2 linked regions of the Arabidopsis thaliana genome follow. The protein of the gene in region 1 purifies or fractionates together with the protein of each later gene. This does not show direct contact. Each region holds a gene or a part of one and is shown in the gene's direction. Other genes may lie near its edges.

Region 1 (3,755 bases):
ACACGCCTTCCAGAAGATCCACTGCACCTCTACTTTATCTGTAACAAAATATTACTATCCTTTCATCTAACGGTTAAATAGGAAATCCACCGTAGTCATTGATACAGCTGATTATTCCCAAGCTCGAAACGAGAAAAGACTAGAGCGCGCAAATTTTGAATATATTTATTTATTGTCTTTACTTTCCATCAAATTTTGAAGAACGAAAGAACACTGTTGGCTAAGAGGAAAACCCTAGGAACCATCAACCGAGAAGAACGAAGAAGATTCGAAAGATGGAAGGGACATTGGAGCGACACTATTCTGCTTCAATTCGGTCAATTTTCGAAGCTTTCTTTTGAGAATCGTCCATCGTCGAATGTTGCTTCATCGGAGTTTCAGGGTCTTCTCGATTCGGACTCGTCGGAGCTCCGGAATCAGTTGGGCTCCGCTGATTCAGGTGCCAATTGCGGAGATAAGGACTTTATTCTTAGCCAAGACTTCTTCTGGTAAATCTTCGGCATTTCCTGTAACACAATTCTGGTAAATCTTCGGCATCAAATCAGTACTTGTAAGTATCTGTAACACAATTCTGGTTTAGTTATTCTGATATCTTCCGTAGCTAAAAAGGAAATTTCTCTCATCACCATTTGATTCCAATATTCCTCAGAACAAGAAGCTGCGCAAAAGAATTTGAAAACGAAAACGACTCACAGTTGCTTCCACCGTTACATCACCGGGATCCCTAGCATAATTTAGCGCACCACAACCTGAAAACAACACATAAGCTCCTTATGAAAACACTTTCCTTAATCAGTTAATCTATGAACTGCAAGAAGGTACGGGAAACCTGACTGAAGTTAAGATAGTCATAGAAAAGGCTTGATCGCAAAATATATACCTATGAGTTTTTCGAGCTTTGTTTGAAGTATTAATCCTCCCTACAATATTCAAGCCAACTATGGTCAAACCACAATCAAATTCACCCTATAGCTCCTCAAAACTAGTCAAGCCAACAACAATCAGGAATTGGGCAAAATCAAAAGTTCCCATGTTCTTTCTCAAAGACAAATTCTCAGGAGTTCCCAGAGAGCTTTATGCAAGCTCAAGTTGAGATTAAACATTACCTCTTCTTCCTTTGCATTCTCGCTTGGCCACATATCATTTTCTCCCAAACTAACATTGATGATCTCTTCCTCCTCCTCTAAAAGACCAAACAACAGCTTGCGAATCACTTGTTAGACAATGAGCGACCTAAACACTAAGATCTAAAATCGAAATTTCAGATGATAAAAGCAATCATCAGTTCTCACCAGAGATGCTCTGATCGGAATCTGGATTCCCCTGAAAATCCAACAAGAACAAAAGCAAAACTCAAAATCAAATTAATCCAACAATAAAAGAAATCGCAAAAGCAAACAATTCTCAGAGATGTAGAACAGTCACCGGAAGGTTTCTTCGCCGTCACATTCGCCGTCACCGTTCAAATCGATCTCGCCGGCGTGCACCTTTATACCGTCCTTGCCGTTAGTATGCTTGGATATGGGCCCTTCTCTGAGTTTACTTTCTTTTAGTATTAGTAATTGGGCTTTAATAGGCCCAATTCCCATGTTTTATATCCCACATTTTAGAATTAATCAAACATTAATCTGGCAATTCCTTAATTTCACATTCTAGTACAAATTACTGGTCTTTAGTTATAAGGATTAAGGAGAGTTAATTCATGTTTGGAAAAAAAAAAATGAGAAACTTTTTAGTTGTTTGACCAATAAAAATACAAATTGTTAAATTAATTAACAAAAAATACTAATTCAAAATTTTAATTAGTGAATCGTAACAAAAAATATTATATTTCTTAAGAAAGTTGAATATTTAAATTAGTGAATCGTAACAAAAAAAATGCTAGTGCTATTATAGAAAAAAATATTATTTATTAAAGACCCATCAAAGCGTACATGATACGCTCTACAGAAGATCCGCTGCACCTTTACTTTATCTGTAGCAAAATATTTCAATCCTGAAGATTGAACGGTCCAGAATTGATTATATAGGAAGTGCACCGTAGTCAGTCATGCAGATGACTATTCCCAAATTTTAGCTCGAAACTCTAAAAGACGAGAGCGCGCAAATTTTGAATTTATTAATTTATTTCAATTATTTTTCCTTAGTTGAATCACCACCCAAAGTAATAATATTCATCGTCATGTTCGAGAAGAACGGAAGAACACTGTTGGCGAAGAGGAAAACCCAAGGGACAATCAAAACCAGGGCATCGAAGAAGATTCGGAAGATGGAAGGGACATTGGAGCGTCACTCTCTGCTTCAATTCGGTCAATTGTCGAAGATTTCTTTCGAAAATCGTCCGTCGTCGAATGTTGCTTCATCGGCGTTTCAGGGTCTCCTGGATTCGGATTCTTCGGAACTCCGAAATCAGTTGGGTTCCGCTGATTCAGATGCCAATTGCGGAGAGAAGGACTTTATTCTTAGCCAAGACTTCTTCTGGTAAATCTTCGTTAACTCTGGCATTTCTTAGCTGTGTATATCTAATTCGAGATCTATCGTTATCTTCTAGGTAGTTGAATTTTGGGATTAGTTAGTATTACGATTTCAAGATCTGACTTTAGATTTGAGATGGTTTCCCTTATATTCACTTTTTAAAAATGAAAGCTAAACTTATGTCTAGCTAAAAGATGCTTGTGAGATGTTGATGAATGATGGTCTCAGCTACTAATAATTTCTTCTCTGGTTAATTTTTCCAGCACACCTGACTATATAACCCCGGACAATCAGAACTTGATGAGCGGCTTAGATATCAGCAAGGTAAAATTGTTGATTTGGATGTTTATTTCACCAATGTCTCAAATTTAAAGTTCTTCTCTTTATTGTTTTTGTAGGATCATTCTCCATGTCCTAGGTCTCCTGTTAAACTAAATACAGTTAAAAGCAAAAGATGTCGCCAGGGTAAGCTTTCTTTGGATTCAGATTTTGTGTTTAGTATGAGTAAAAAGAAGATTTTCGGATGAGAAGAAAATATACGTTTCAGTTTTTGTGGTACAATTGTTATCATTATAGTTATGTTTGATCTCCTGTTTTAACAACTGTCCAATATTGAATTCTTTATTGCTTTAAGATTCACACTAGTAGTATCTAGTGATTTCATGTTTTGGTGACAGTGTGTTCTTTGCTTAATTTTTTCATTACTCAGTTTTGTTTGTTTTTTTTTGTGTTTGATGCAGAGAGTTTCACAGGAAATCATTCAAATTCTACCTGGTCTTCAAAACATAGAGTAGATGAACAAGAGAATGATGATATTGACACAGATGAGGTGATGGGGGATAAACTCCAAGCTAATCAAACAGAGAGGACTGGATACGTTTCACAGGCTGCAGTTGCTCTGCGGTGTCGGGCTATGCCACCCCCTTGCCTCAAGAATCCGTATGTGTTGAATCAGTCTGAGACTGCTACTGACCCTTTTGGACATCAGAGATCAAAATGTGCAAGTAAGTTTGTTGTCCCTAAAATTCTTGCTCAAGAATTTCCTGAAGGCTTTAAAAATCAATAAGGCTTGGTTTCTTCAGTAAAACTGTACTAAATATACTGTTATGTAGGTTTTCTCCCTGTAAGTACAAGTGGGGATGGCTTGTCAAGATATCTCACGGACTTTCATGAAATCCGGGTAAGCGAAAGGGTCTTTTAGCTTGGAATTGTGATCATGACGGAATTATGTTGCTTCTTCTTACGTATTTTGGTTTGGTTTCTCCAGCAAATTGGTGCTG
Region 2 (3,755 bases), on another chromosome or scaffold:
CTCATCAGGTTCCTTATACAGTTGTGATAGTTTGTGGTCTCCTGCTTCATCTTCATGTTTGGAGTATAAAGATTGTTGTAATCTTTCTGTCAAATGATCTTCTTCTTTTGAACTTGTGCTGTCTTCAGGAACTGGTTGCAGATTATCCAGTGAATTACAACAGTTGGTCAGCTGGAGAATATCAGTTGCTTCAGGAAAATTATCCTTAGTAATGTCTTCAGTTTCCCACACAATCTCGGAATCTTCTGCACAAAAATTGATGATGGACAAACAACCGGGGTAATCAATAGCAAGTATTTCTGGAGCTTCTATCTTCACAATCTCCAAACCAGTTACACTCATATCTAAGTTAGCCTTTATATCATTGCTTTCCTCATCCTCTTTATCTTCTTCTTCGCACCCAGAGCTTGTGTAAGCAGAAATGAAGTTCTTTACACAACCAATGTTCTCATATTCTGAATGTTGTGGATTAACATCCAATTCCATCTCCTCTCTAGACACACTAGAGTACAAAACAATTTGCTTATTCTGAAAATCAGCATCGCTAAACTCTTCTGATGCATCTTCAAAAGCTTCCTCAATGGCTACCACTCCGGGAAAATTTGGCTCTGCACTGCAGTATGGAACCAGCCTCATGTCACTGGACGAATCAAGCATTATTTCTTCCACCAACACTGTATTTATAGGAGATTCTGACTTTTCACTACAATCCATGGCTTCAGAAACTGAATAGCTATCATCCCAAACTTCAGGCTTGACATGAAAGAGCACCAACGGCAAATCAACCTTTTCCACAGATGGAGGAGAGGAAGTAGAAGTACCACACTTTGCTTTTTTACGCTCCTGCTTCTTCTTCCTTCTCTTGGAGAATTTCGTATCCCAACTGCTAAGAGGCTCCTCAATATCACATCCTTCATCTTGGGTCACATACTCTTTTTTAACTTCAACGTTCGAGAATGTCTCAGTAGTAGTATCTCTGCAGTTTCTAAGTTTCCTTTTCCTTTCTTTGCATTGTTTCTGAATCATCTCCAATGTTGTCATGCTAAAATCTTCAGACTCAGAACCTTGTGTAAAATCAGAACCATTGTCCAAATCCCTGACTACTCTTGGAATTGACTCAACACCTTGACTGTCTTCAAGATTGTATATATCCACCAACTGTCTAAATTTGAGCTTTGGTTTTCTTCTGCCATCCATATTCATCACTATTTTGATAGATCCGTCTTTAATGGTTCGGATATAATGTACATGAGAGTTCAAGTGTGTGCTACTTCTTAACTCCACCATTGTAACTATCAGATAATTACTTGCTAACAACTGATTAAGCTCGTATAATCCCCGCGCTCCTGGATTGAAACAAACAAAGGAATTACCGGTAAGGATACTGCTAAGTGCTAACAACAATAAACCAGAATCCTAAATTTCATTAAGCCAATCAGAGAAACGAACATCAATTAGCTACTAAACACAATTTGAAACCAAAACTCTTTTCTTAGAAAATCAATTGCACAAATCTGACCACGAAAAAGGACATGCAAATTAAAAAATGAAATTCACAATGGGCGGCGAAAACCCTAATTTCGCTACATCAATTTTTTTTGTAGCTGTATCGATTCGAGAATGGTAAAGAGCAGATCTGGGTAAAGTAGATGAATGAATCAAAGAGAAATTGAATCTAGGACATTGAATTTACCTTAAGTCTTAATCAACGCTTAATTGGATAGAGAAGGGAAATGAATGCCGAATCCTGGGCTCCAAACTCTAATTTCTGGATCTAGGGTTCACTAAAGAGACAGAGAGACATTAATTTGAAAACAAGACGAAGAAGAAGACCAAGAGACTGAAAATTGCAGCTCTTTGTAAGAAGGGAGGCGAAACCTTTTCTTTGGTTGTCTTGTCTTCTGAGTTCTGACTAATCTTATGAGCCGTCAAGTCTCGCGGGAAACACATGGCGGGAACTTTGACGTTATTCTTTTTTTCTTACTTAAGCATCTTTTCGTAAATGGGTCTTTAAACTTAAAGCCCAATAATCATTAATGGGCTTATATATATAAAATGGTTAGGGGTAAATGTGTAAAAATCCACTTAGCAAAGACTTGAGGTTGATGATATACCACCCACATAGCGGCGCATTATAGATAAGGAGGGGAAAATCAGCTTTTTGGAGAAGAAACCAAAGAAAACATTCGAAACCCTAAAATCTCCATTAGAATTCGAAAATGACAAAGAAGAGAAAGCTCGAAGGAGAAGAATCTAACGAAGCTGAAGAACCGTCGCAGAAGCTGAAGCAGACGCCGGAGGAGGAGCAGCAGCTTGTAATTAAAAATCAGGATAATCAAGGAGACGTTGAAGAAGTTGAATACGAGGAAGTAGAGGAAGAGCAAGAAGAAGAAGTAGAAGATGATGACGATGAAGATGATGGTGATGAGAATGAGGATCAGACGGATGGGAATCGTATAGAGGCGGCGGCGACGTCTGGATCTGGCAATCAAGAAGATGATGACGATGAACCAATTCAGGATCTGTTGGAACCATTTTCAAAGGAGCAAGTTTTGAGTCTTCTTAAGGAAGCAGCGGAGAAGCATGTTGATGTAGCCAATCGAATTAGGGAAGTAGCTGATGAGGACCCTGTTCATCGGAAGATCTTTGTGCACGGTCTTGGTTGGGATACGAAAACAGAGACGCTTATTGAAGCTTTTAAGCAGTACGGAGAGATCGAAGATTGCAAGGCTGTGTTTGATAAGATCTCAGGGAAATCTAAAGGTTATGGCTTTATTCTGTACAAGTCTCGTTCAGGTGCTCGCAACGCACTCAAGCAGCCTCAGAAGAAGATTGGTAGTCGTATGACGGCATGCCAATTGGCTTCTAAAGGACCTGTCTTTGGTGGAGCTCCTATCGCTGCTGCAGCTGTTTCAGCGCCTGCTCAGCATTCGAACTCGGAGCATACTCAGAAAAAGATTTATGTTAGTAATGTCGGAGCAGAGCTTGATCCACAGAAGTTGCTGATGTTTTTCTCAAAGTTTGGAGAAATTGAAGAAGGTCCTTTGGGTCTTGATAAGTATACTGGGAGACCTAAAGGTTTCTGTCTCTTTGTTTATAAGTCGTCTGAAAGCGCCAAGAGGGCTTTGGAGGAGCCACACAAGACTTTTGAAGGCCATATCTTGCATTGCCAGAAAGCTATCGATGGTCCCAAACCGGGCAAGCAGCAGCAGCATCACCATAACCCACACGCCTATAACAATCCTCGTTACCAAAGGAATGATAACAATGGTTATGGTCCGCCTGGAGGTCATGGACATCTCATGGCTGGTAACCCAGCTGGGATGGGTGGTCCAACGGCACAGGTGATAAACCCGGCCATTGGACAGGCCTTGACAGCTTTATTGGCATCTCAGGGAGCTGGTTTGGCTTTTAATCCGGCAATTGGACAGGCTTTGTTGGGTTCCTTGGGGACAGCTGCTGGTGTAAACCCAGGGAATGGAGTTGGAATGCCAACTGGTTACGGTACTCAAGCTATGGCACCGGGGACAATGCCTGGGTACGGTACACAACCTGGGTTGCAAGGCGGTTATCAGACTCCGCAACCTGGTCAAGGCGGTACAAGTAGAGGGCAACATGGTGTCGGGCCATACGGTACTCCTTACATGGGTCACTAAATGTATCATGTATCCATCCACTCAGGTAGAGCAATGAATTTCCCTTGTTTAATTGTTGAAATGTCTTTCCTCAGTATATATTAACTTACTGATGTCTGA

The links. The genes of interacting proteins can lie anywhere in the genome.
Region 2: the proteins of WEE1 (region 1) and UBA2A purify together in Arabidopsis thaliana (affinity purification with mass spectrometry, with the first as the bait; one large-scale study listed by BioGRID). This does not show direct contact.

The regions. Positions count from the first base shown.
Region 1 is NC_003070.9:671,226-674,980, forward strand, and holds the start of WEE1 (WEE1-like kinase), read left to right. Parts: upstream 1-2,080; 5' UTR 2,081-2,182; coding exon 2,183-2,481; intron 2,482-2,738; coding exon 2,739-2,799; intron 2,800-2,873; coding exon 2,874-2,940; intron 2,941-3,215; coding exon 3,216-3,479; intron 3,480-3,587; coding exon 3,588-3,655; intron 3,656-3,742; coding exon 3,743-3,755. Other genes in the region: AT1G02965 (uncharacterized protein), read right to left, coding at 436-558, 694-749, 881-920, 1,107-1,181, 1,293-1,323, 1,426-1,589. UniProt on the Arabidopsis thaliana protein: Cell cycle regulatory kinase that is not rate-limiting for cycle progression under normal growth conditions. Transcriptionally activated upon DNA stress or damage in an ATR- or ATM-dependent manner.
Region 2 is NC_003074.8:21,050,609-21,054,363, reverse strand, and holds the start of UBA2A (UBP1-associated protein 2A), read left to right. Parts: upstream 1-2,043; 5' UTR 2,044-2,219; coding exon 2,220-3,656; 3' UTR 3,657-3,681; exon of another isoform or gene 3,682-3,755. Other genes in the region: AT3G56870 (uncharacterized protein), read right to left, coding at 1-1,287. UniProt on the Arabidopsis thaliana protein: Heterogeneous nuclear ribonucleoprotein (hnRNP)-like protein that acts as a component of a complex regulating the turnover of mRNAs in the nucleus. Binds with high affinity to RNA molecules that contain U-rich sequences in 3'-UTRs.